Stegostoma tigrinum: one gene and its partners. The protein of the gene in region 2 purifies or fractionates together with the protein of the main gene of each other region. This does not show direct contact. Links are inferred from orthologs where the notes say so. Each region holds a gene or a part of one and is shown on either strand. Other genes may lie near its edges.

The links.
Region 1: the proteins of WD repeat-containing protein 48 (region 2) and phlpp1 purify together in Homo sapiens (affinity purification with mass spectrometry; 5 studies listed by BioGRID and IntAct, with this or other methods). This does not show direct contact. The link is inferred for Stegostoma tigrinum from reciprocal best matches to the Homo sapiens genes WDR48 and PHLPP1.
Region 3: the proteins of WD repeat-containing protein 48 (region 2) and rad51ap1 purify together in Homo sapiens (affinity purification with mass spectrometry; 5 studies listed by BioGRID and IntAct, counting the BioPlex papers as one, with this or other methods). This does not show direct contact. The link is inferred for Stegostoma tigrinum from reciprocal best matches to the Homo sapiens genes WDR48 and RAD51AP1.
Region 4: the proteins of WD repeat-containing protein 48 (region 2) and atad5a purify together in Homo sapiens (affinity purification with western blotting; 3 studies listed by BioGRID). This does not show direct contact. The link is inferred for Stegostoma tigrinum from reciprocal best matches to the Homo sapiens genes WDR48 and ATAD5.

What each region holds. Positions count from the first base shown.
Region 1 is NC_081355.1:6,235,513-6,242,458, reverse strand, and holds the start of phlpp1 (PH domain leucine-rich repeat protein phosphatase 1), read right to left. Parts: upstream 3,019-6,946; 5' UTR 2,846-3,018; coding exon 1,438-2,845; intron 1-1,437. UniProt on the Homo sapiens protein: Protein phosphatase involved in regulation of Akt and PKC signaling.
Region 2 is NC_081355.1:148,392,454-148,400,398, forward strand, and holds the start of WD repeat-containing protein 48, read right to left. Parts: upstream 3,004-7,945; 5' UTR 2,978-3,003; coding exon 2,930-2,977; intron 1-2,929. UniProt on the Homo sapiens protein: Regulator of deubiquitinating complexes, which acts as a strong activator of USP1, USP12 and USP46. Enhances the USP1-mediated deubiquitination of FANCD2; USP1 being almost inactive by itself.
Region 3 is NC_081378.1:34,615,574-34,622,476, forward strand, and holds the start of rad51ap1 (RAD51-associated protein 1), read right to left. Parts: upstream 3,015-6,903; 5' UTR 2,933-3,014; coding exon 2,916-2,932; intron 1-2,915. UniProt on the Homo sapiens protein: Structure-specific DNA-binding protein involved in DNA repair by promoting RAD51-mediated homologous recombination.
Region 4 is NC_081375.1:3,872,876-3,880,490, forward strand, and holds the start of atad5a (ATPase family AAA domain-containing protein 5), read right to left. Parts: upstream 3,006-7,615; 5' UTR 2,692-3,005; intron 2,481-2,691; 5' UTR 2,443-2,480; coding exon 2,395-2,442; intron 2,044-2,394; coding exon 188-2,043; intron 1-187. UniProt on the Homo sapiens protein: Has an important role in DNA replication and in maintaining genome integrity during replication stress.

The DNA of each region.
Region 1 (6,946 bases), about 140 Mb from region 2:
ACACGATGAGCCAAAAGGCCTCCTGCACCACAGCAATTCTGTGATTCTGTTGTAACGCAGGTACAGTTATAGGGCATGGTCTGGTAAACTGAAATATTTATTTTATGCTCTGTCATGAAAAATCAAGCATGCAAAAAGATTAGCTCAATAACATCACACATTAAGCACATTAATTGCTTTCACAGCATATCTGCAAGCCAGATATGGCACAAATTATAAATATTGTGAATAAACTTGATACGAGTACAAAGGAGATTGTCATGTTATCAAGCAAAGCACAAGATCACTGATCATGTAGGAGGGAGTGTTTTTGTGCATTGGGAAGAACGTAATAACCATCTGTAGTGACAATAAAGCGAAGAGTAGTCACCAGTGTTGTCAGCTATCCTCAGCACTAGTATCTTTTGTGTAGCATATTCTGGAAGTGAGTCAAGCAGTTTCACTGCATTATTTAAACCCTTAACACAAACAGCACTCTGCATTAAAAAACAAACCCATTCGAAGCACTCTTGAATGCCAATCCAACTACACAAACATTAAAGAGGCAACAAATCGAAATGTAAAGTATGCAAACAGCAATATAACATTCCTCTTGAATTTCATGGCGGCTTTAAACACTTGCACAAGAACAACATACATCTGACTCACTTATGGCTTCATCAGTGCCATGTTCTTTTTAAAATCTCAGCAGTTACAGTTATAATATTCGCCATCAATTGAAGTAAATGTTAATGCTTTCTTTAAAGCACTTTGTTCATGTCAGTTAAACAATATTTCAATTACTCACTGTTGGTGCTTTTAAAAATCACTGTACCTAACATTACAAACAGAAGTCCTCACCTTTCTGCCAATTACAGATGACTGTAGTTTCACTTTTCACCATCTGTAAGAATGGCTACTACCATTATCTTTTTAAAAAAGTGATTCCCAAAAATTTTCCCACAGTCACACTATTTCAAGGCTGTAAAATTGTCATGACCAGTCGGTGAGAACTGAGAGTGAGGGGTCCTACAAAAGCAGAGGTACAGCTGATAAGTTCCATCATAGCCATTGTTATCTCAGCATTTGCAACCGCATTTGTGATCCCAATCCCCATCTTGCCTGGTCTAAAAGATACGTCAGTAAACTGAGTCACTGCAGCCAACCAAACATCTTTTTCTACCATTTTCCTTTATTTCTAGAAGAATAATAAAATAAAAACCAAAAGGTTTTTGTTGCTTTAAAATCCTAAACCGTCACTGAATATTTTTACTATACTTGCAATGATGTTTCTCCGAATATGTCTCAGAATACATCAGGAAAAAACATTTAGTTTAGTGCTGAGAGTAAATCTATAAAAAGTTATCGATTTTAACATTGCTAACAGGTAGCATTCCAATTCTGCTCTGGGAAAGGAAGTTCACAGCTAATAATCGCTATCACCTAAGAAAATCATACCTGCATAAAATCGAATCAGACAGCCAATTTCAACGTCCATTCCCTCCTCCTGCACCCTACTTGGATCTTTGAACCCCAGTTTAAAGAGGTACTCATTTTGTATTTCAAGGGGGTTTTCATGTGGCTCCAGCCTTCTGGTAGTTTCGCCATGAAGTTGAACATAAACCATTGATGTGAGCAAACCATCAGTAACCTGCATTCCCAAAGTGTCAGGAATTGAAGACTTCAGCCGACCTTCACCAGTAAGGGAATCACTCCTCAACTCAGGTCTGTCCACACTTTCTACCTTGACCACAGTGTCATTTATGGTATCACTATTTACATTTTCATAATGCACCTTGGTGCTTTTCAGCGATGGCCTCGCAGCATTTTCCAAAGCCATCAATTTGAAACAATGGTTTGACGATTTCAGTTGATTGGTATTATTATTCAATGAAGATCGAAGCCTGTAAATTTCAGTATCAGATTTTGGTCCGTCTTTGGCAGTGGCTGGTGCTAAGTACACCTGTGTGCCACTCGTTATATTTACTTCCTTTTGTGTGGTATTCTGATTATCCAGTGGCGTCCCTAACCTGGCAAGGGTAGTATTAGCTTTCTCATTACGGACAATATCGATATTTAAGTGTTGGCCAGCAGTGACTAGTGACAATCCCGGTTTTCCGTGAGCAGCAATGTCTGACGATCTGATGTTCGATGTCTCGGTTTGTCCCGACGTGACCAAAGAGCCCCGTCCTGGCCTGGCACCGGTGCTCCTTGATGTCCCCGATCTGGCACCGCCAGCGTTGTGCACAGGGGTCAAGCTGGTCATGCCCACACCATTTGCCTTTGGTATACACCCTGCCCCTGTGCGACCAGGATGCAGCAACTTGGCGGCGACCTCGGCCGCGGTGGTGTCCAGGGTGCAGATGACAGGTCTCAGGTAGGAGGACATGTGCCTATCGTAGAGATGCAGGCAGCCCCTCTGCACATCGGCTCGGACCCATTCCCGGTCGGCCGCAGTCAGCTTGGTGCCCGGCATCTTCCTGCGGTCCAAGCTGCGGCCGTGACCGGAGGAAGAGGCGGCAGCGGTGGCCGAGAGGTTCCTCCTCAGTCTCCTCCTGGACAGCAGCGAGTTGGAGTTGTTGTTCCAGCTACGGTTACCAGGCTTGGGCTGAGGGTGCAAGGTGGCCGCGGCGCTGGAAGGCAGCGGAATTTGCCCTGATCCGCTGCACCCACCTCCGCCTTCCCTGCAGGAATCCAGTCGCTGCACCTCCTCGGCGCTCACGGTACTGCCGCAGCCGTTCACTTTCACGCTTTTACACCTCGAAACAGGCGAGCGCTCTCTCTGGAGATCGCGAACCAACGCGGCTTCCATGTTCCCCAAAACAGTTTTTTGTTGTTTTTTCACACGCACAATATACATAGACATATAAAACACACACGAAGGATTATTTTATCAAAAGCCAGTCCGAGACACGTCTTATCTCCTTGAATTCGGGCCTAATGACAGCATTTTGGGAGTGTCACTGGTTTTTTTTCCTCCCTCAGGAGATCCAGTTTCCTATCGCCATAAACGTGCAAGAGACGCTCGAGCGCCGCCGAACAACGCTGAGCGGGAGAAGGCGGGCTCAGTCCCATCAACGATTCAGAGCCCGCCCCCCCAACCGACCCCTCCCCTTCAACCGACCTCTCCCCATCAACTGACCCCGCGCCCCCAACGGACTCCGCCCCCCTCAGAACAACCCCACGCCCTCGGTCGATCACGCCCCAAACCGTTCAACTGACCCCCTCCGCCTCAGCCGACCCCTCCCGCACCCTTCACCGTCCCCTTAAACCCAACCTTCCCTCCACTTTAAACCAAAAGCTCCCCTACCAATCATCTGAAACCGAATCCTTCCGTCACCCCATCTACCTTAAACCAACCCCTTCCCCAATTCCCCTCCTCTTATTCCGGCCAACGGCTGGTGCCTCATGAATATTAATTTAAGACACCCGCCCCCTTTCCTCATGAATATTCATTACCGCCTTCCCTTTTCTCTCACATTTCTTATCTTCAGGGGATATACATATAAATGTCTCTTTATATACATTTTTTTGAAAAATGGAACATATCTATGGTCAAACAAGACCACAAGTAAAAATCGTCTTTTATTTTGTTACGAGGGGGCAGGGCTGGGAAGATGAATATTTATAAATTCTAACGCTCTGGAAGGTGGGGTTGGCGGCTGCTGGTGGTGTCCTCTCGTGACCTGGCCGTTGAGAAGCGACTTTTGCTTCCCCCGCTCTCACCCCCAATTTCTGGGGGCGGCACACGCAGCGCAAAGAGCACCCCGAGATTTGTAGTCCTTCCCAAAACAAGAACGTCGGTCTCCCTGGGTCGGATGGGGAAGAGCGAACTACAACTCCCGTGAAGCGGTGCGCTCGTTCCGACCAACACCGGCGAGGTGTTCAATGAGAAAACGGGCCTGGGGGGCGTTTGAAATCGACCCACAGATATCCGATGTTATATTATACTTAATGATGTAAGAGCAGGACATTTCTGTTGCAGCTCGGGGCAATGTGAGGAAGTTTCTAAAACCAAAACAGCCCAGCGGATCCGAACCCGTTTGCTTCACAATCTTATCTGCAAAGTTCATTTAACTTGACAACTCAAAGTACCAGCTGCTGGAAGTTATGTTCCTCACTACCACTGGGAATACCCAATTCGGCCTGTCGCGGAATGTTAACCAGTTTCGGTAACTCAACGAACTTCAGTTTTGATGAATATTCTATTCTGTCACTACGCCAGAATACTTCCTAGGGAAAGAAACAGATGTACTAGCCTTCAGATCGAAAGAACTGCATCGGGATCGTATTTCAATGAGCATTTCACTCAAAATCGCAGTTTTTTTTCCCCCTGATGAAGGGTCCAGACCCGAAACGTCAGCCTTCCTGCTCCTCTGATGCTGCTTGGCCTGCTGTGTTCAGCCGGATCGACACCGTATTAAAAATCACAGGACTGCATTTGCTGGAGCTCTGAAACAAACCGAAATCGCTCGAGAAACCCAGCAGGTCGGGTAGCGTCTGTGTAGAAAAAAAAAAGTGAATGTTTCGAGGCCAGTGTTAAGACGAAGGCTTACTGGACTCGAACGCTAACACTGTTTTCTCTGCATCTCTGCCCCGATACCGCTAGACGTGGTGAGTTTCTCCAGCAATTTTCACGTTTTATTGCAGAAAACAGAGCTAACTTGTGTACAAGTTAGCATCTACAATTTATAAAACAGTGACTAACTGCCCTCCAGAAGCTTGGTTCTGGGCCTAATAAATGTACCTACTTGAATACAGGTTTTATTTGGTGACCCAGCCTTGCAGATGTGAATTAGTGGTATTCAGAGACAGTTGTAGTGCTCACTTTCTAATGGTCATGTCGATCTATCTACAGTTTAAACAACAAAATGAATTACCTTTAAAGAGACCTCTCATTCCTCAGAAAATACTGATGTACTGTGCCATGCAACATTTAAGCAACACTAATTCTGCATATTTAGTTTTGAGAATGAGCAGCCTTAGTAGCAGTCTAGAAATGGGCATTGTAAAGCAGGAAGTTGCATATACAGGGCAGTGGGGCAGTTTTCTGTCACTCAGTCATTAACACAGCATTTGGGTCTGGTTGCAGGAGAGGAGAGATCAATTAAAGAGGGGGTTAATCTTCTGGAAACATTTGGTCCTCAAACCCACCAAATGCAACCCCCATAATTTGGAAATTTCATAAACCTTGGCATAAGACTATACTTGCCTATAAGTCTATGAAATTAGGGATATTTTATTAAATGTATTTATTGTTACTTTGGCTTTGCTTACACTTTCACTGTTATCCTCCAGTCTTTTCCTTGGGACTGAAATGGTCTTTTCTGCAGTTCATATGACCAGAATTTTAAAAAATCTTCATTACATCAGTTAAAACCAGTCAAGAAACACAACATCTCAACTTCCTGAGGAAGTTAAGAAAATCTGGTATGTTCATAAGGACTCTTGCAAATTTTTATAGATGCACCATAGAAAGCATTCTATCTGGATGCATCACAGCATATGGCAACGGCTCTTTCCAATACTGCACAAAACTGCAGAGTCCGTCATGTAAACAAGCCTTCTGTCTATTGAACAAAAACAAAGTTGCTAAACACTCAGCAGGTCTGACTCCATCTACACTTCCTGTTGCCTTGGGAAAGCAATCAACATAATCAAAAGACACCTACCATCCCAGTTATACTTTCTTCCACCATCTTCCATCGGGCAGAAGATGCAAAAGTTTGAAAACATGTACCAACAGATTCAAAAACAATCCCCCCCCCCCGCCCCCCCATAGTTATATCAGAACTTTAAAATAGAATTCTGATCCATCTCTCTGCACCTGTAAAATTACAATTCTGCACTGTTCTACTACCCTGATGCACTTTGTATGGTACAATCTGCCTGTATAGTACACAAAATACACTTTTCACTGCATCTAGGTATGTGTGACAACAGTAGATCAAAAAATAAAACTGTCTTAAGCAAGCATTCCTTTTAGAGAGTGAATAAATTATGGTAATGGGCACAATTCTAATTCCATACAGTGGACAGTAACTCAGTTGAAAACTTTCCCGCTGCCTGCTCACAGACTACAAAATTATAATGTGTACAATATATTATTTTGTTTAATATAACACAGCTGCACAGAATAGTAATGAACTCTTTTGACCAGAGTTATTCAACGCATATCTACAAATGCAGATTATACAAATACTTTTCCAAATTTTGGCTTTTTGTGCAGTGGCTGAACCTTTGCTAGCTACTGTTTTATGAAACTTAAAAAGAAGAAACAGATGGCAATAACATATGTTTCAATGCTAATGCAGCACCAAAAGGATCGTTATTATAAAGGAATTATTGATATATAAATGACTCAAACCTGGTAATTTAGTTTTATATTAAAATAAATTGAAAATGCTTACTCTAACAAATTAAGTCAAATCAGCAAGACCAGAGATTTACATAGCACTTTTAAGATTAGAAAAGCACGCAAAGGCATTTCAAAGTGTAGCCAGAAAGCAGACTTTGAACCAAAGAACATAATAATAGATGCTACCAACTACTTGGTTAGAGATGGCTGAAGGAACTAATGCCAGTTGTGGGGCAAAAAAAGTGGGTTAAATACACAAGAGGCCAAAGTAAAATGGAACAAAGATTTTGAAGGAATGGTAGTGCAGGAAGGGGTCATAAAAACCAGGCAGGAAAACACACCAGTGCTTCATTGGAGGCTGCACTTATGATGTTACGCAGCAGGGTAATGAAACGTCTACAGAACAAAACCAGCTTGGTGAGCCGACCACCCACAACCCGAGCTACAAATCTACTCCAAAACTTTAGGGGTCATAAAGCTAAGTATAGATGAGACCATGAGCCAATTTAGATCATTTGTAGACAGCTGGATCCATAGATAGAACCACTGAAAGCCACAAACAATGCTGCACATTACCAAGGAATGGCCCTTTAAAGTGGTGGCTTAACC
Region 2 (7,945 bases):
ATAGTGATTTTTATCTGCTGTCAGTAACACATTTGCTATCACAAACTGTTTCAGACTCAATGTCAGCTGTAACAACAGGACCTGAATCTCTACATGTTAAAATGCAAACCAAACAGCAGAGGCCACAACCAGACAATATGACGACATCCAAAGTTGTCATACTGCATCAAAAATGCGCTGGTTGCATAGCGCAGAATCATGGAATATGGCTGGACCAAAAGGAAGAGAATTGGACAGGTCTTTTTTTTAAAAAAGACCTGTCCAATCTAGCCCCACAATTCTGCCTTTTCATCAGCTCCCTGCAAATCTGTATCCTTTAAATTCAAATCTAAATTGCCTTTCAAAATAAAAACAGAAAATGTTGTTAAGTAACTCATGACTTGCAGCATCTATGGAGAAGAAAAAATAGAATTAATGTTTTGAATCCAATAGGACTCAGTCATATTGGACTTAACATTGACTCTGTTACTGTCTCCACAGATTGTACCAGACATGGGGAGGTGCGCCAGCATTTTCTGCTTTTATTTCAGATTCATACTTTGTAGCTTACTTTTTGCTTTTATTTGACTGCCTATGGAATCTCATTCCACTACCCTATCAAACCGTGCATTCCAGGTTTTTACAACCACATGTACTAACATTTGTAATTTCCCTTCTAATTCTTTTGCCAGTTATTTTAAACCTATGGATTCTAAGTTCCCATTATCTAGATAAGGTAACAATTCCTACCTGCTCTATCCAAAACCCTGACAATCTTGAACAGATCAGAAGCTGTCAACTCTCGTCTGAGAAAAATCACAGCTTAAACAGACTGCACATACTGAAAGCTGAAAATAACAAAACTCTGGCAATATTTAATAAGTCTACAACTGTGTGACAAGAGAGGGGAAAAAAGTTAATAGTTAAGGCTGGGGCTACTTCTGACGAAGAAAGACCACAATAAAATATTGGATGTTTCCCTCTACATGTAGGCCACCAAATCACCTCAGCAGCTAATGCTTTATCAGCTTCTTGAATCATTCAGCATAAACGATGCCTTCAGCCTTGGTAGCAATTTCTCAAGTCTTTTGCATAGCCCGTCATGACACCCTTTGTAGACCCATTTAGAACTGCCCAGCACAATACCTCCGTGACTACGAACCGTTTCCTTGTTTTGCACTTGGTACATTTCGGAATGTGCAATACTGGCTCGCTGAAGAGGTTGCAGGATGTCAAGATAAAAAAAGTAGTACAGACAAATTCATAAAGCATTTAACAAAAGCTCAACAGTTTGTCAATGTCACTGGAAGCAAGAGGATTTTCTACAGTTTATTTCAAAACCAAATTAGTTTTAAATCAACACTTAAATAGATAGCAAAGCAAACCAGAATATTAATCCTCACAGAGCTTAACATGTTCATTCACAGAAAACCAGTTACCTAAGTGTCATCGCACAAACTTCAGAAAACATCTCTATCTTGACTATAAAGGAACCATGGACGTTTACATCACAAGAGAAGCCCTATAGCTCCCAAAAGTGCAGGCACTTGTGCTCTGCAAAAGCAACTTATTATTCATCTGAGTACCACTTTCTCCCCATTGCCATGCACTCTACTGTTTCAAAGATTCGTACAAATTTCCCTGACAAGGTGCAACCACATTTTTTGACAACACATTCCATGGTCCAACAAACTTAATGAAAAAATGCACAATTTGTGATTCTAATTGCAAATCAAGCCATTCAGGTATTCAAACACTACAGATTATTCTGCCCTTCTACAGAGTGCATGTTGGGTCTTCTGAAATACAAGGTAAGTTTGAAAAATATATGAACTGCAGATGAAGATAATAGTGAAGACTTACATTTTGCACAGGAAACTTGCAAAAGATCACTTACCTGAAAGTACACAAACTGAGGTGCAAAATCTAGGATACTGAGCAAAAGAACATCAGTATGATGAAATAACTGCAGCACTGCTGCTGATGGAGTAATTGATACCAGCAATTTGAAGCAACAGGCTACAAGTAATGCACAGGCATAATACCATTTAAAAGTCTTAACAGAACTCACAGCAAACACAGGCCATCTGGCCCACTTTGGGTTATGCTAGTGTGTTTCTGTGCCAAAGGAGGCTCTTCCCTCCCTACTTCAAAAGTACTCAACAAACCACTGCCACACAGAATACAAAGGAAACTGTACAAACAAAACTAAATTGATGGGAGAGAAAGCAGATGAAGCTGAAACCACTGAAACACAGGTCCCAAAGAGTGATAGCTCAGAATTAATCAGTTCTCAAGAAGGGTCAGACACATTAACTCTGTTTTCTCCTCACCTACCATGTTTTTCCAGTGATTTTTTTTTGTTTCAAATCTCTAACATTAAGTCTTACAATAAAACAAACAGCAGATCACAGATGACTCCTGGACACAAAAGTTCAGCAAGAAAGGACTGGTTTCCAGAAAAACTAGAATATTGCAAACATGACAGTGGACCAGGGTGGGGACAGCAAAAAAAAGGGGGTTGGGGAGATTTGGGAAGAGGGCCCTAGCACAGGCCGTGAACCCCTCTCCCCACAAAGTGCCTCACTCTCCCATCTTGCTTTCTCTATCCCATCCCCAGCCCCTTTCTCTCTCTTTCCTGACCACTTTCCCACATCCCCTCCCTCCAGACCCACAACTTCCCCAATCTGCTCTCTTTTACCCCCTCCCAACAACTCCCCGTCCCTTCTCCTCCCCATCCCACATCCCCTCTCCTCCACTCCCTTCTCTCCCTCCCACCCCCCTTAATCGCCTCTCCTCTTCCCCTCTCCCTCCTCCCGATCGCGGCTGCAAGCGCTGGATTTGGGCAGGGCTGTGGAGAGGCGCCGGGGAGCGGGAAGTGAGGAAGGTGGCGGCTCCCATCCGGGCGGTCGGGGAAGCAGGGACCGAGACGGTCGCGCAGGCCCCTCACCTGGACTTTCCTCCGGGCCGCGGTATTCTGCCGATGATGGGCCGCCATTTTGCATGTTGACACCGCGACGTCACTTCCTGTCCGGCGGCGGGCGGAAGTGAGTGGGCGGGGCCAGCAGGTAGGGCCCTCCTCACCTGGAGGCATTGTCTCTCCCAGTCAGTGACACGCACGCATTGACACACCTCCCTCAAATTATCCCATCAATGTGTAACCAAGCATGCTACGAGATGATGCCAGGAATCTGAAATTAAAACAAAACAAACATTAAAATGGCCAGCATCTGCAAAACTGAGCCAACTTCTGCACTAAAGTATCTTACGGTGTGAAGTAAAACCTTGGCAAGATACTGTGGCTGCTGGAAATCTGAATCAAACACCGAGGTAAAAGCCAGATGCATTCAGCAAGTCTGGCAGCCTCTGTGGAGAGCAGAACTGTTAATGTTTCAACTCCGATATCACTTCTGAATGCATTCCATACCAGACTCGAAACGTTGACTGTTTCTGCTCATAGAATCCCTACAGTATAGAAACACACCATTCAGCCCAACAAGCTCACACTGCCCCTCCAAAGAGTGTCCCACCTAGACCCATCTCCCACCTCCTGCATTCCCCATGTCTCACCTGCCTAACTTAAACATCCTTGGACACTACGGGCAATTTAGCATGGCCAATCCACCTAGCTTGCAAATCTTTGGATTGTGGAAGGAAACCAGAGCACTCTAAGGAAACTCACGCAGACACGGGGAGAATGTGCAAACTCCTCACAGTCACCCGAGGGTGGAATCGAAACCAGGTTCCTGGCACTGTGAGGCAGCAGATGCTGGTGGACCTGCTAGGTTTCTCCAGCACTCCCTGTGTTTGTTGAAGACAAACCATAACCAAAACTTTGAGACCACTTATCCTTCTGGGGAAGATGATGGCCTCTAAGGTTTTGGAATAGATTTGTAGCTTGGATTGTGGGTGTTGAGGTTGGTTGGCTCGCTGAGCTGGTTTGTTGTTCCGCAGACATTTCCTTACCATGTTGGGTAACATCCTCAGTGCAGCCTCTGATGAAGCATCGGTGTGCTATCCTGTCTGGTTTTTAAACTCTGGAGTCTATTGACCTGGATGGTCTTGTGGTATTAATGCTGGACTGTTAATCTGGAGACCTAGGTAATGTTCTGGGGACAAGGTCTTTTCCCTGGGGTGAAGGGAGTCCAAAGTTAGAGGACATAGGTTTAAGATGAGAGGGGAAAGATTTAAAAGGGACCTAAAGGGCAACTTTTTCATGTAGACACTGGTACGTATATAGAATGAGCTACCAGAAGAAGTGGTGAGGAGCTGGTACAATTACAACATTTAAAAGTCATCTCGATGGATATGTGAATAGGAAGGGTTTAGAGAATGCTGACGAATGGGACTAGATTAATTTAGGATATCTTGTTTGAATCCCAACATTGCAGATGGTGGAATTTGAATTCAGTAAAAAAAACTGGAATGAAGAGTCTGATGGCGACATTAAACTGTTGTTGATTGTCAGAAATAAAATCATCTGGCTATTTTAGGGAAAGAAACTGTTATCCTTACCTTGTCTAACCTACATTTGACTCCAAACCCACAGCAATGTGGTTGCCTTTGCCCTCTGGGCATTAGGGATGGGCAATAAATACTGGCCTAGCCCTGGTTGAATATCTCCAACACTTTCTGTTTGTAATTTGTACTTTGTCGATGTGCTGTAAATGGGGCCCAAGGAAGAAATGAGGAAAACTTGGAAATGAGAGTTCTAATGTCTACAAGACAGGCTTGGACCAGTTCTTTCAGCATTACTGAGATCAGTATATAGCTGAGGACACTCTCAGACAAGCATAGAGACCTGTGGCATACCTGAGTGGACTCAATACATAAAAAATGACAAGAGTTTTCCAGTTACGCTTGAGTAGGAATAGGCCATAGTCATAGAGTCTTAGAGTGTAGAAACAGGCCCTTCAGCCACCAAACATCAAACTACGCTAATCCCTTTTACCAGCACTTGGTCCACAGCCTGCTATGCCCTGACGTTTTGTGTGCCAGTCCAAATGCTTCTTAAATGTTGTGAGACTTCCTGCTTCCATCACTCTCTCAGGCAGCACATTTATATCTTTTTTCCTTTATTCTTTCACGGGATGAGGGTGTTGCTGGTTAGGCAGCATTTATTGCTCAACACAGTTGCCCAGAGGGCAGTTAAGTGTTAATCACATTGCTGTGGGTCTGGTGTCACATGTAGGCCAGACCAGGTAAGGATGGCAGTTTCCTTCCCTAAAGGATATTAGTGACCAGATGGGTTTCTCCTGATAGTCGACAATGGATTCATGGTCTTCATTAGATTCTTAATTCCTGATATTTATTGAATTCAAATTCCACCAGCCGTGATTTGAATCCTGGTCCCCAGAGCATTATCTGGGTCTCTGGATTAACAGTCCAGCGACAATGCCATTAGGCCATTGCCTCCCCAACATCTATACCACCCTCTTGGCAAAAAGAAACATTTCCTCAAGTCGAGATAATGGGAACTGCAGATGCTGGAGAATCCAAGATAACAAAGTTTGGAGCTGGATGAACACAGCAGGCCAAGCAGCATCTCAGGAGCACAAAAGCTGACGTTTCGGGCCTAGACCCTTCATTAGAGAGGGGGATGGGGAGAGGGAACTGGAATAAATAGGGAGAGAGGGGGAGGTGGACCGAATTACAAGAGAGTTGCAGTGGGAGAGAGATTTCCTGAGGTTGGTCCGGAGGGAGGAGGGTAACTTCTTCAGGTTAGGCATCCCTGGAAGATGCTTCGCAGTGAGGCTATAATTGTGATCAGAGATAACCCTGTACCACTTCCTCTGCAGCTCCTTTCACACACGCACGACCCTCTGCATGAAATAGGTGCCCCTTCGATCCTTTTTAAATCTTTCTCCTCTTACCGTAAACCTACACCCTCTAGTTTTGGACTCCCCCACCCCAGGGAAAAGACCTTGACTATTTACCCTATCCATGCCTCTCATGGCTTTATAAACCTCTATGACGTGACCTCTCAGCATCCAACACTCCAGGGAAAATAACCCCAGCCTTCTGCCATGTGGAAAAATATTCTTACAATATGCTCTATCTATACCTCACGTAATTTTGTATGCTTCAATCAGGTATGCCTTAGCCTCTTCAGCTCCAAGGAACATTACCCATTTTATCCAGCCTGTCCTCATAACTGAGACTTTCCATCCCAGACAACATCCCGGTGAATCTCCTCTGCACCCTCTCCAGTTCAATCACATCCTTTCGATAGAGTGGACACCAGTATTACACACAGCATTCCATCTGTAGCCTAACCAATGCTCTATGAAGTTCTCTGCTTCTGGTCTTCTCTCTTGGTAACGAAGGCAAGCATCCCGTATGCCTTCATCCCTGCCCTATCTACTTGTACTGACATTTTCAGGGACCTGTGGACTTGTATACCAAGGTTTCTTTGTTGCTCAGTACTCCCTAGGGAGCTACCATTCACTGTGTATATCCTTCCCCTATAAAACCTCCCAAAATGCATCACCTCGCACTTATCAGGATCAAATTCCATCTGCCATTGCTCCGCCAAATTTACCAGCTGACCAATATCAGACTATAACCTCAGACCATCCATCTCAGTGTCGACAACACCACCAGTTTTTGTACCATCTGCAAACTTACTAATTACACCTTTTACATTCACATCCAAATTGCTAATATACTTAACAATCAACAAGGGTCCCAGCACTGATCCCTGTGGTGCACCACTAGTCACAGGCTTACAATTACGAAACACCCTCCACCATCATCCTTTGCCTCCCATTTGCAAGCCAATTTTGAATCCATTTTGCCAACCTGCCTTGGATCCCATTGGGTCTGTTGGAGCAGCCTTCCATGTGGGACCATGTCAAAGGCTTTCGAAATTTACATAAATCACATATAGAAAAGCACGGCCTAATTAAGGACAGTCAGCATGGCTTTGTGCAGGGCAGGTCATGTCTGACTAACTTAATTCAATTTTTCAAGGAGATGATGAAGGTGATTGATGAGGTTAGAGCAATGGGTGTTGTCTACATGGACTTTAGTAAGGCTTTTGACAAGGTCCCTCATGGTAGGCTCACTCAGAAGATTAAGATACATGGGATCCATGGTGACTTGGCCACATGGATTCAGAATTGGCTTACCCATAGAAGGCAGGGGGTAGTGGTGGAAGGATGTTTTTCTGGCTGAAGGTCAGTGACTAGTGGTGTTCCACAGAGATCCACACAGTGACCTCTGCCGTTTGTGATATATATATAAATGACCTGGATAAAAATGTTGGGAGTTGGGTTAGTAAGTTTGCGGATGATACGAAGTTCGATACAGTTGTCGATAGTGTAGAAGGTTTTCAAAGTATACAGCAGGATATAGATCAGTCGCAGATGTGGGCAGAGAAATTGCAGATGGAGTTTAATCTGGATAAGTGTGAGTAACTACACTTTGGGAAATCAAATACTAAGGAAAAGTATACAGTTAATGGCAGGACTCTGAACAGAATTGATGTACAGAACGATCTTGGGATTCAAGTCCATAGCTCCCTGAAAGCAGTCATGCAAGTAGCTGGGTGGTAAAGAAGGCATATGGCATGCTTGCCTTTATTGGTCAGGGAACTGAGTACAAGAGTCAGGATGTCATGTTGCAGTTTTATAAGTGTTTGGTTAGGACACACACTTAAGAGTACTGTGTTCAATTCTGGTCACCACACTACAGGAAGGATGAGGCTGTGGAGAGGGTGCAGAAGAGGTTTACTAGAATGTTGCCTGGATTAGAAGGTATGACCTATAGAGAGGCTAGAAAAACTTGGGTTGTTTTCTCTGGAGCTGCGGAAGCTGAGGGGAGATTTGATAGAAGTCCATAAAATTATGAGATGCACATGCAGTATTGATGTTCAGAATCTCTTTCCCAGAGTTGAAATATCTAACACTAGGGGACGTACATTTAAGATGAGGGGGGAAAGCTCAAAGGAAATGTGAGGGGCAGG
Region 3 (6,903 bases), on a different chromosome or scaffold from region 2:
GGTGTTATACTCTCCAGTGGCCTTACTCAATCTCCTAATTATAGTCCAGTTTTTCCACTGACTAGCCCCTTGTGGCACAAATATGACTTTCGTACCCACTTTGGTAGCTGTCCTTTTGATAATCTGAATTAGTCCATCCTTCAGTAAACAAATTGTCAATGTTAAAAGTCTGATCCACATAGCTGTGTAATATATGGTCACGAGAAGTATCAGGATCCCCTATCCTGTTCTTTAACTCCTTTAGAATCTATAAATTTGAAATTTACACCAAGCAATTCTTGAACGATGTTCCCAAGCAACCTTGTCCCTTGCTATACAAATATTGTTTCTCCATCCTTACCAATAACCTTTCCTAGGCATCAGTGGCTCAGTGGTTAGCACTGCCATCTCATTGTGCTAGGGATCCCAGGTTCGATTCCATCCTATGGCAACTGTCTGTGTGGAGTTTGCACATTCTTCCCGTGTCTGTGCATGTTTGCTCCCACAGTTCAAAGATATTCAAGTTAGGTGAATTGGCTATGATAAATTGTCCAGGAATGTGTAGGCTCGGATGACTAGCTGTGGGAAAGGTAGGGTTACAAGTATAGGATAGGACAGTGGGTCTGGTTGGGATGGTCTTCAGATGATTGGTGTGGACTCATGGGCCAAATGGCTTGCTTTCACACTCTAGAGATTCTACGATTCCACTACTATTTATGCCCCTCTCTTTCATAATAAACAACATCTCCTTGATTGAAACTGGTTTCCAATAGCTTTACACCATACTTTAAAGATTGCTGGATCCTTTGTGAAACTGTCACTTTATTAAAAGCCTGTCTGCCTGCATGTAGTGCCTTCAAATGTTCAACACAGTAAAGTTAATTGTAGACCCTTCACAAGCTGGGTGCTGATGACTTATAATGGATAGAACTTAACGATATGTAACAACTACTAAATGATTTGGACTATATTTTACGATCATCTGCAGTGAATTCTTGACATTGCCAGCCATGCTCGTGCAGACGATAGAATTTTGGCAGACCAAATCATAAACAATGAATCATTTTGTCTATTACTGCATAGTTCCTTTCACATAGCCTGTCGGTAAAATGGCTTCCTGCTGTCATATTCAGAACTGTTAAGTTCATATTTCTGCATATATCTTGTAATTTATCACGGGCAAATTACCCCCCATTCTCAGATACTCATTCTCAGTCCACGTCCAGTCCCACCCCCATTTTCATTACTTGATCCATAATTATTTTCATATTTTTACTATGTGTTATTGTTGATTGATTCAATCTGGTTGCCAAACCTATATGTAACATTTTTCATTCTTATCCCACATCTTTATGTCCATTACCACTATCTCGATGAAGTACCTTGCTCACAGCAGACCTACTGGAGGCATGACAGCGTCCTTCAATATCTTACATCTATTACTTAACACTTCGACAAACTTGTAACATTCCTCATTCCGTGTTCCTGAATCATTTACTAAAATTTTTAACCTTTTGGCGGAGGCATCAACAAATTGCCCACGTTGTTTTAACACAATTAACTATTAGTCTTTTAAATTTCTATCCCCTGATGTCAATAACACTTCTTCAAAATAATTTACTTAGTAGTATCTGACCAGCATAAATTGCAAAGTTACAGGATTTTCCAAATCCATTGACTTTCTTACTTTCCATATCCAGTTTCATATACACTTATTTTTATCAAAGGCTTACTCAATAACATCAGTATTGAATGGAACACTGAAAAAATGATTTAATTATAGCTATTTTACAAGGAGTAATTACTCTTTTTAAAACAAGATTTTGTACGTTATTTTCTCCAAATGTGAAGCTGGTAGAATCTCAAATTCCTTGCCTTTGGTCCAACCCTTATTTATCAGAGAGTATAGGTACCAATTTAATCATCTACTTCACCCAGTGCAGACCTACAGCCACCATCTAATACTTTGTAGCTCAGTTCTTGTCCACATTCCGGAAATTGTAATTTAATCCTCTTACTAAATCGGCTGTTTCAGTATCTGTTAATGGTCAGTCAGATAAGTTTTTTATCCATGCTTCTGTGTTGTTATTTTGTGTGAGTTTGTCTAGTTTTTTCTGCAGCTGAGCTACAAACCTTCTCAAAACTCACTAGCTGTCTAATACTAATCAACTGAAAGATTCTGCCACCAACACATTCGTCATTGGGCTGAAACTTCTTACGACCATAAAAAGGCCCCTCTTTGATCCATGTATCCACATTCTTCTTCTGAATCTTTGAATATTCTACCATACTTTTCATGCTAATTCATGGTGCAATGTTACTTTGAATCACACCTGAAACATTACTTGACTGAACTCTGTGCATTTATGGGGTTCATTTGTCTAATGTAAGTCCCAAATTCTCTTAGCTTCTAGAATTCAACAAAAGCATTTCTGTCCTTATTTCTCCTCATTCAAATTCTTCTTTCGCACCTACATCTTGATCTTTAATGACATTAAGACTTCCATTTTCTTTTGAATGGCTGATTGCCCCATTTGCAACATGAAAACAGATGGAAAACACTGCTTTCCAAGTATATTTATTTTATCGTGTTTCTGACATTTCTTCTCAGAATGTGTTTATCTGCATATTTAATTTCTGTCAAACCTAGAAGTCTATCTGGATTTGACAATGTGAACTCGTCTAATAGCTGAAATGCCAGCACAGATTAGAGAATTTTCAAATATAATTTCTGCAGTCCTGCACACCATGTACTAAATTCTACGACTGGTCTTTTGTGGAGCAATGTTCCCTCGTCCTGAATGTGAACATACCACCGTCGGGTCTCTCCCCGCCACCAAGCCTCTCCCAAGGTCCACCATTTCCCCCACACCCCAGGATGTCGCCTCCATATTCCGGGCCTATCTCCTCGATCATACCCAGTTAAATCCACTCACCTCACCGGCCTGGCCATCGCTCTCCCACAACAACAGAGCTTGAAGCAAAATGAGAAATAAATCACCCGCCAACACACGTCAGCGCCCAGCCGCACATTCACCACAACTGTAAAATTACATTTACCGTTTAAGGAATTACACAATAAAAGGCAAAAACAAAAAACGTTTAAAAAATACTGAGGCTCGTATGCAGTTAAACAATTCCGCTTCCTAGCGCTCCGTAAATACTCAGACGATATCCTACCGAATCAGCTGCTTGATATTGAAACACGCTTTTTAGAAAAGGTGCTTTGGGTTGCAGCTAGTTCCTGTTTGGGGAAGGCTTTGGCTACAGGTAATGGTCAGATTTATTAATTGTCGCTTCCGAGAAGGAAAAATGCCTTTTGCTCAATATTTGCAGGAGGAGAATATAATGTGTAAAACATATGAAGAGTTTTTAAAAAATATTTCAGTTGTATGTACCATACGTCTGTGCTTTGTTTGTGTACATACATGAGTAGATTGTATCCTAAAGTTCTTCTTCCATTTTCTCTTTCTGTAAAGCATTTATTAATTCAGACACCTCGGTTAAGTTGCAGCTTTCTCTCTCTCTTCTTCGCCCTCCCCATGCATTATAAATACGCTTGATAAGAACAATTGTGGAGGGCGTTTATAGAATCCAAGTTGTTGAAGTCATTGTCATTATGGAACACTTGTAGTTTTTTCTACAACACTTTTCCTGGGCCCATATTATTAACAGCATCTTGCTTGAAGAATACTCAATTATGGAATATTGGTCAGCATCTGCATTTACTGAACCTACAGAATAAGGTCTTCTATTTTCTTCAATATGCTCATTTGGCTAGAACTCAGCAAAAAAATCCACTAAGAAAGAATTTTGGTAACATCCTCTGAATGCTGGTAACTAAATCTATCTGTCAAATGGCATGTTAAAAAGATACCTATTGTACTTTAAAGCTGGATAAACAAGATTAAAGTTCAGTGTTGTCAGGCTAGTAATTTGTGTGAAACTGTGGCACTTCAGAATTAATTATCAAACTGGTGAGATGTAGGTTTTTGTAAGCGCCCTTCAGAATCCACAATCAGTTCTTTCTGTTCCCACTTTTAACATAGCCAGATTGTAACACACAATCCTCATTACATTAGGAACTTATACCAATGATAAATGACATACCTTAGATCAACCTCAGATAGCTGAAAATAATGGTATTGAAATTATAACAGGAAAGGTACTCTGCACAAATGGAAATTGCTGGAGAAACTCAGCAAGTCTGGCAGCATCTGTGGAGGGAAAGCATGGTTAGTATTTTGTGTCCAGAGACCCTTCTTCAGCACTTTCTATTTGAGTTTCAGATTTCCAGCATCCACAGTTCTTTGTTTTATTTCAAAGTATTCTGCTTACATTGTCAACTGCAATAATAAATTTACATCAAACAGCTAGAAAACGTCTGAATGGAGTTATTTTTTATTCATTGATGGAACGTGGGCATTGCTGGCTGGACCAGCATTTATAATGTATCCCTAGTTGCCCTCGAAGGTGGTGGTGAGCTGCTGTCTTGAACTGCTGCAATCCATTTGGTGTAGATACCCTCAAAATGCTATTAGGAAGGAAGCTCCATGATTTTTGACCCTGTGACAGTGAAGGAACAATGATATATTTCCAAGTCAAAACAATGAGTAAGTTTGGAGGAAAGCTTACAGGTGGTGGTGTTTCCACATATCTCTTGCTGTTGTTCTAGTCAGTAGTGGTCATGGGTTTAGAATGTGATGTCTAAGGATCAGTGTTGCAGCTACACTCAAAGGTCTTCACTTGGGATGTGACAAATTCAGTTCTATTCTGGGAACATTACCAGGACCCATAGCTTTAGCAGTATCCAGTGTCTTCTACCATATATTGGTGTCACATGGAGTGAATTGTGACCCTGGGAACCTCAGAAGAAGGCTGAGATGGATCATCCACTTAGCATTTTTGACTAGAGTGTTTCAGGCACTTAAGTCTTACCCTTTTCACCAATGCTGTGGCCTTCCCCATTGTTGATGGGGATACTTGTGGCACCAGCTCCTTCAATGAGTTGTTTAATTGTCTACCACTGTTCACCACTGAACGTGGCAGATATGTGCGCAGTCTATCCCATTTGGTAGTGCCATACAACATGATGGAAGGTATCTTCAGTATGGAGATGGGACTTCATCTCCACAAAGATTTTGCAGTGGTCACTCCTGCTAATTCTGCCGATGACAGATATTTCACACAGGCAGATTGGTAAGGATCAAGGAAAAACAAATATGTTTTTTGGTGCTGGAAGTTGAAGTCTCCTACCAGAGCAGATTCAGCATCCTTTCCACCTTCTTTGCTTCCTCCCAAATTCAACGTGGAGGAATACTGAATCATCGTCTGATGGGGGTGATATTTGGTAATCAATAGGAGATATCCTTGTCCATGTTTTATCAGATGCAATGAGACTTCGTGTGATCCAGAATCAACATTGAGGACTGATGAACGACTAAGGATCCTGGGATTATACTCATTAGAGTTTAGAAGGTTGAGGGGAGATCTAATAGAAACTTACAAGATAATGTATGGCTTAGAAGGGGTGGACACTGGGAAGTTGTTTCCGTTAGGCGAGGAGACCAGGACCCATGGGCACAGCCTTAGAATTAGAGGGGTTAGATTTAAAACGGAAATGGGATGACATTTCTTCAGCCAGAGAGTCGTGGACTTGTGGAATTCATTGCCATGGAGTGCAGTGGAGGCCGGGACGTTAGATGCCTTCAAGGCAGAGATCAACAAATTCTTGATCTCACAAGGAATCAAGGGTTACAGGAAAGTGCAGGGAAGTTGAAATGCCCATCAGCCATGATTTAAATGGCGGAGTGGACTTGATGGGCCAAATGGCCATACTTCCACTCCTATGTCTTATGGTCTTATGGACTCCCAGGGCATGTCACTGTGCCACCACCTCTGCTCTCATTCTGATAAGACAGAATATGCCCAGAGTGGGGATAGTATCTGAGACATTGTCATCAAGGTATGTTTACATGGTTTTGACTTTGTCAAACTGCTGCTTGTAAGTCAGTTCTCCAAGTTTTGAACAAGTGCCCGAATATTGGTAAGAAGGACTTTACAGGGTCAACGGGGCTAACTTTACTGCTGTAATTTCCTATGTTTAGTTCAATGCCAGATGGTTAGTGTGATTTCATTTTCTTTTGAGATTTTTTTAAATGATTTGATACAATTGAAAGGCTTCCTAGGCCAATTCAAAGGACAACTGGGAATCAAACACATTTCTTTTTTGTGGAGTTACATTTTAGATGGATCAAGTAAGGATACCAGATTTCCATTCCTAAAGAAAACTCATGATCCAGAAAGGTTTTTATCTTATGACAATTGAGAATGGAATTGACAATTCCAGATTTCATTGAAATCAAATTCCACCCTCTGTCCTGGAACCTAGAACATTACTTGGGTTTCTGGATTACTAAATCAGAGACAATACCTGTAACATCATTTCTTCCCCCTGTATATTCCTCCTCTCAGAACAGATTTATTCTGATGGATTTTTTAGATTGTCTGTCTTTCTATTTTTAAAAAAATGTCTCTTGAACTATTATCTTGCCTTATGTGAAGTATTTTAAAAGAATGTAAAACATTGCAGTTACTGAAAATCAAAAATTTTTAAAACGCTGGAAATATTTAGCGGGCCTGATATCGGCTGTGGAGAGAGAAACAAAGTTAAAATTTCAGGTCTGTGACCTTGCTTCAGATTTACGATCGTGGTCAAGGAGAAGCTAAAATTCAATTAAGTAAGGTGGAAGCAATAAATGGAAAATCCCTTGGAGTGAGGTGGGGTAAATTTTCAAGAGGAACGTTCCTAGAAGAGAGGTCATAGTGAATTCAACACTGACAGCAAAGAAAAATACTACAGTGCTATATTCCAGGTGAAGCAGGATGCCCAGTGTTGTAGAAATAAGGACAATGATCTTCTGC
Region 4 (7,615 bases), on a different chromosome or scaffold from region 2:
CACATGTATCCACCTTTCGTTAAACCACACATTCTAAACAGATGCAACAATATGCAGTTAAAGTCATTGGCAAAGTTAGCAAATCTCTACAGCTAGTAGAATAAGGGTCATCTTTCATTTAAATGTTGCTGAACCATTCCAGCTACAATCAACACTGCAATAGTGTGGAGATTTGAAATCACATCACCTGATTGGGCTTTTGCTACAGGTCATGGGAATCATTTCTGCTTTGTAGAAGCTATTTTCTTTGGAAGACCAATGTTTCAATTTTGGAGTTGACTGACAAGCTGGAATGCCCAGACAATCCACTCCAATGGCTTTATGTGGTGTCTGGCAATTGTCTAAAGCATCTCTTTGCTGTCTAAGGCTCCTCCGTGTAGTTCTACAAGTTTCATTTGAACGCGCTGTTGTTAGATCCAAAGGCATTCGGTCTCTGGATTCTTTACTTGTGACACAGCCCAGATTCAGATCAGGATTAAATTCTTCTCCCGTTGTTTCACAACTATCTAGGTTTTTACATTCAGCTCTAAGTTTTCTGAGTTTTAACATTTTCTTCTTCTTCAAAGTTGCACCTACAGACTCTCTGCTTTCCACCCTTGAATCTTTGCAGACTTGGCTTGATATCTCAGCATTTGTAGTCTGGACGAATTCCCCTTTTCCCTTCTCAAGATTGGGCTCATCATCACTACCTTCACCTTGTGCTAAACCTTGCTTGGAGGCTTTTGACTTCTGCGTTACCCTTTTAAGTGCATTTTTTGCCTGATCTGAAGAGGGCGGTCGCCTGAAAGCATTCATAAATTGTTCCCTTTCAGCTCGACTACACTTGGCCTTCATAGGACTCTTTTCGGTGGCATCCAATACCAATAGCTCCAACTCCTCCTCTGCTATCACCACATTGGATCTCCTTGCAGGAACTGAATCATGGCTCTCAGCAGGATGTGGGCTCAGCTGTTGGATTTCAATCACTTCACTTTCAGAGTCTGCTTTCTTTCTCAAAAAAATTGAGGCTATTTTTTTCTGTTTCACTTTGGAATTTTGAGCTGAGGTAGCTAGAGGACTAGAGTGAATTTGAACATGGACAGTAACAGTTTTTGGGGAGATTGGCTGAGGAGAAACTGAACTCATGTCTTCTATTAAATTGGGAAGCTTGTTACGTTCCTCAATTATCTCAGAGTTGGCCTCTGCTGCTTTTTCAGCTGAAGGCTCTTCAGTTCCTTGGTCCTTCATAAAATCTTCGAATGACACAGTAACAGTGCTGTCATTTGCCTGAGGAGTCTCATTGGCTGGTGGTTCCAAACCTGTCTCACTGAAATGTATTTTTTCATTTTCAAGAACCATGGGGATAGTAGCCCCTTTAGACTTTGCTACTTCGATCCCCTCCTCACAGTAATCATCCTTTGTCACAAGTTCAACATCGGACTGTTCTGAAGAACCTTCAGGTTTACTCAAAGCCTTTCGTTTCCGTGTTTTTTTGGTGATTCTTTTACTTGAATGGCTGACAACTTCATTGCAAGTGTCCTTTCTGTTCTGTCCTTTTATCTCTCTTTGTAGAGTACTGGAACTCATATAAACACTTTCCTCATTCTCTTTAAATATATCTTGGCTTTCTGCACAAAGCTGAGCAATCAATGCAGCTGTATCACTGCCAAGAACTCCAATGCCTGACCTTACGTCACACACCTCTCCAACACTACAGTTACTAGAATCATTGATTTCAACAATCTTGCGGCATTCATTCAATTTCCGGCTTAAGTTAGTTCTTCTACTGAGTCTTTTCCTTTTGGAGATTTGGTGTTTCCCCTCAGAGACTACAACTGATTCCCTACTGTAGTCTACAGATATTACCGCTGAATTCTTTCGTTCACATTCACTCGATGCAACTGAAGCAACATTTTGTCCAGGAGTTTTCTTGAAGTAATCCATTATGTTACCGGACTTGGGTGATGGGCAGGCCATGTCGAGGGATTTGGATACTGGTGAAAAGTAGCTTGTAATTGTTTTTGTGTAGGAATCCTCTGCATCTTTCTTCTGTTTCTTGCACGGCTGTAAAACAAACAAACAAAATTAATCACTGTCTTGGGAAGCTTCTTACTTTCCTTGATTATCTCAGTCAGTTCTGCTGCTTTTCCAGCTGAAGGCTTTTCAGTTCCTTGGTTCGTCATAAAATCTCCAAATGACACAGTATGGCACCCCTTTGATCCAAAGTGACTTTTATAGAAGTCATTTATTATAATGACTGCAACACTATTACTGCCTATGTAATCAGTGAGTTGTAGTAGATCATCAACAAACGTGAAGTACAGTACACTCCAATGTGAATGACAACAACTATTTCAATTTTACGTCCAAAAAGACATTTGAAAGGAAGTTAAATGACAATCCAAATAGTCTCACCTGATCATGTTCCTCCACCATTCTGGCCATAGCAATAATCCCAACCATATCAGTTTAATCTTCCCCTACCCTGGGCATTCACAAACCTGATAAAAGACCAGTGAAGAACATTAATAGCAAAGAGCTCCAGCTGGTTATCTTGGACAGGCATTCAACAATATATAGGTTAAGTAAGTTGTCATTTTTTTTCATGTTTACAAAGAGATAATGATATAAAACGCATTTCTGATTATGGAAACAAGTGTCTCCAACAAATACTAACAGATCAGACAGCCATATTCAAAGCCAAATACTCGCCTTTAAGAAACCTCAGGTCGAAATCTGTGAACACACATTTCGGTGGCCCCCTTTTACAACATTAGTGGGGCCCTCACCCGAGAGGCCTCTTCTTATAATTTGCTTTCTTTTAAAAATGAAAACAAAACAATCAATCACATCAGATCAAATTTACGCTACACCTTTTACGAAAAACATGAGACTGAAACTCCCAATTAATTGTTACTCTACCCGTTGCCTTGAATATTCCCCCCACCCCTCCTAAAACGGGAGTCGGGACGGGGGAGGGGGGGTAAAGACATAAAATCTCTTTGAAAGACGCGCCCGAAACCCCGAGAAATGGCGCCAACTGAGTCTGACCTTTGACCCGCCGCCCTTCCCCAACAGCCGGCAGCGCTCGCCTGTCAATCCGAGACTGATCCCCGCCTCCGTTCCCGCCCCGGATAGGCCTGGCTCCGCCCCGCGCACTCGGGGGCAAGACCATCAACGGATTGGCTCCCGGTCGCTGTCAATCATGAGCAACGCCCCGCCCCGAATGACGCGGGGAGGCGACCGTTAGGCCCTGGGCTGTGCCCTGTCAGAGCGCGAGCGACAGAGCTGAGCAACGACAGCGGGACACTCCCCTCTCATCATCGGCGTTACTTCAGCATGAGCTGATGTTCGGTTAGTAAATGATGCATTTTTTTTTGTTGAAGTAGAGTGTAGGTAGGGAAAAATCTTCACCTTTTGAATTAAAAGCAAAGGCAGAGGTATAAATTAAACGTAAGAGGAAGGAGGTTTAGTAGAGGGGGGTGTGAGAGAAATATTTTTCACCGTGTGGTCGGAAGCTGCAGCTCATTAAGGTGACAGGGGCGGAAACCTTCATAACATTTAAGAAGTACATAGATGTGCACTTGCGATACCAAGGCACGCAAAGCTATGGGCCAGGTGTTGGAAAGAGGATTTCGAATAGTTAGCTGGTTGTATTTTAAACCTGCGCGGATCCGATAGGCCGTGGGACTTTTCCCTTTGCCGTGTGTTTCCATGAATCTGTGAACTGCAGATGCTGGTTGTCTCAAAAAAACAGAAGTGACTGGAGAAACTCAGTAGGACTGGTAATGTCCGTACACAGAGGAGAGTTAATATTTCGAGCCTAGTGACCCTTCAGAACTGATAGCAGCTTGGAAACGTTAGTCAACAAGGTGTGGAGCTGGATGAACACAGCAGGCCAGGCAGCCTGAGAGGAGCAGGAAAGCTGACGTTTCAGCTGACCCTTTCACGGAAATCTGAATTAAAAAGATGCGTCCAGACCCGAAACGTCTAGCAGGCTGCTTGGCCTGTTGTGTTCATCCAGCTCTACACCTTGTTATGTCAGATTCTCCAGCATCGGCAGTTCCTACTATCTCTTGGAAAAGTTAGAAGTTGGGTCTGCTTCGTCCATTCGTCTACTGTAAGCGGCGTGCAACGCTCTCTGATAGGAAATACTTTGCCAGATTGGCGCTGCGAACCTCTCCGGTAACTGGTATGGGAGTTTCTCGTCTTCTCTTTTCATTTTTAGTCTTCATGTAGGGACTTATTGTGCGTTTTTTTTCCCCTCATCTGACTTTAGTCTGTGCGTTTTCTTTTAAAAACCGTCTTGCTGTGTTAAATTTAAAGAGCAGAGTTCGTACAAACATTTTTGACTTTATAATAAAGATTAGACCAATAAATAAGGCGAGGAATTTTAGTTTTACTAGCTGGAAGCAGATTTTTGCACTGAAGGAGGTTGCTGTAATCTGTCTTGAGGTTATGAAGACGTCATTCTAGCAGTGTTGATCTACGTATTGGAAATTGAATCAATTATGATTGTTTTGTTAGGAATCCCTGCTGGATCTTGTTCTTGTCTTCTGTACTAGCCTCTGACCCTAGTAGATTCCCTATGCAGAAAAGCGGGAGCTCAGGTGATGTCTGGCAAAATTTATTTCGATTTACATATTGTCATGTGTATTTATAATAAATACAGTGAAGTGTTGCTTAGTGTCACCACTTGCCAGTACCATCTTAAAACATGGAAAGTAAGCCAAAATACAGAATATAAAGCCAGAAAAATAAAACCAAGTTCATTTTATAGTCTTAATTCAATGAAGATAGGTGGTCTTTGGAGCACCACCTGCATTTAGTTCAGCCATGGCCTTAATCCAGGCTCCTCCAGTCCCAGCCAACGACACAGCTGCAGCCACGCTTCACCATGCTGTTGCCACTGGAACAAAGCATTGCCATGCTCCAGTGCCATCTCACCTCCACCAAAGTCGCCACTGCATGAAATCATGTTGAGCCAACCTCACGGATGCAGCTACCTCCTGTGCCGCTGGGACCAAACTTGTTACTGCTTCTGCCATGAGTCACTTGGGCCTAGCAGTGGACCTGGAGCCTTGGTTCAGTCCACAAATCACAGCTGGGGTTTTAAAAGTAGGACCTGATCCTCACTCGCCGGGAGGGCTTGGGTGGACCCCCATCTGCCTCATTGTGGTGTTCCTGCTGTTGGACGCAGCCTCCTTCAATATTTACTTGGCCTCACCCCGCCCCAGACCTGCACCACCATATTCATCTGTCATTCTGCACAGTGCTTGCTCTCACTGCTGCTGCAACTGAGACAAAAATGTAGATTTTTTGATAGGTGTAGAAAAACAAAAAAAAAGAAATGAGTGGATGAGCCTGTGGGCCAGTAGCCTGAGTGCTGCTACTTCACCATTGTCATCTACAGGAGAGGATAGTCCAAACGTGTGCTGTCTGAACACTCCTGACGGCTAATCTACAGAACAAATTAAGGCATACCAGAGACCAGACTGTGACTAATTCTGAGTTGGAAGAAGATGATGAAAATGAACACCTTTTACTTGCCAGAATTGTGTAAATATGGTGACATAACTGCAGGTGGTTGAGGGAGATTTTAAGTTAAGTAGGACTTCTTCATTGAAATGTAAGAGAAAATTACAGTTCAGCTTCGCAGGATTCTCTGAAACAAAGTCTAGAGTATTGGACTATCTTCACAGTGCATTTTTTGTAACGTTTTGGACATTTTATGTGAGGAGGTGACTGTATTTCCACTGTTATGAAGCAGAGGTTGAACCTCCCCACTTCCCCACATACTAAAACCAAAACACCCAAAAAGGAGCACCTCCACCTCACCCCATAATCTGGAAAAGCATTGTGAAAAGTGGTGTAACCTGCCTTTCAACAACTTCTACTGGTTAATTAAGATAAATCCCTGACACTCATTTTAAAATCAACAAGTACAATTTATTTGTCTAACTCTAACAGTGAACAAATTAACTGAACTATTAACAAATGGAATAAATCCCTTCATATTCCCGAATGAAGCAAGATTCTGATGGTATGCAGTTCTAATAAATACATATCCCACTAATATAAAAACTAGAATTTAGACTCTCAATTACAGCCCAAGTTACATGTCTTCCGGTATATTCTATGCTTTCTCCGTCAATTCTTCTGACAGGAATGGTAACTCGATGTGCCGTTGATACTGTTGTTATTTAGATGGTGGTTTCTCCTAAGACGTAGAGGAGGCTGTGAGACCCAGTAATTCTGAGAGCTGAGACCTGTTTACCTCTGAAGTCTTTGCCCAACTGCCCCTGTCTTTTATATCCTTAACGACATACCAATATTTCTTAAAATAGAATTGGTCCTATGATGTCAGAGCCATCAGAATTAAACTTAGTGGGTTTTTGGTATTTAAGTATCTGGTTCAAATTTGGCTAAATTCAGAAGTCTGTTGTCTTAGTAAAAACTGCTGCTTGGTCTGCTAACTTTGAACACAAATGTTTCAATTTCGGTGCTCTGTGTATTTGCAAACTTTCAAGCTGCTGCTCGCTGATGTCCATTTTAAAAGTCTAAGCACAGAAAAAGTGCATGATATTTTAAAGGGACCACACAATGCTCCCCCCGCCCCCAGCAGTTTAGAAACACCAAATTCTAAGTATTGCCTCCCAATCCACAAGTGTTCTATTCAACTTCACAACACCTTGTTCTGCCATTAAAAATGAGCCATCATTACGAAAAGATGGCTTCTCTTTTTAAGAAACCTTAACTCCATTACATTATTGGATCCATAGGTCATTAATCTAGTTAATACACGGTAATAAATAGAATTAGTGTTAAATTGAACACTACGGTTTCTATCTTATATGCATTTGTCTTTTAAACTCATAATAAAGCATCAACAATAATATTTCCATGACCTGCAACATGTGCAATCTGTAAATTAAATGCATGTAATGTGAGACTCCCAACAAAATAATCTGGTGTTCATGTCCTTAAATCTTTCCAGAAATGTCAATGGATTGTGATACACCATTATCTCTGCATTGTTTGCAATGGAAAATTTAAAATGTAAGAACATTACTAAAATCAGTAACTTTTTCAATGACGGATTATTTTTTCTGGTGGATATTGAGTTTTTTTGAAAAATAACCGATTGACCTTTCTATTCCACATTCATCATCCTGTAATCACAGCTTCAACACCTACATTGTTTGCGCTGATGGTGACTTTGAAGCGTTTCAAAAAAATTTGGCATGATGAAAACTGGTGTGGTGGTTAACACTTTTTTAAATTCTCAAATGCCTCCTAGCATTGTTCTGTCCTCTGAAATTTTGTGTTTTTTTTAACAAATCTATCAACGGTACTACCACGCTACTAAAGTTTGGTACAAATTTACTGTACAATCCACTCAATCCTAAAAATTGTAGCACTTCTTTCTTCAAGGACGATCTTGAAAATTCCCCGATGGCCTTCATCTTGTTTCTCCGTGTCATCTGCCTGTATCCAATGTTGGGCCTTAAGAATGTCACTTCTGCCTATGTAAATTCTGTTTTTGCCAAATTTTATGACCAACTTTGCCTTCTGTGGTCGCAAAGTGCACTGCCAAATTCTTAATGTGATCTTTCCATGAATAGCTAAAGATCAC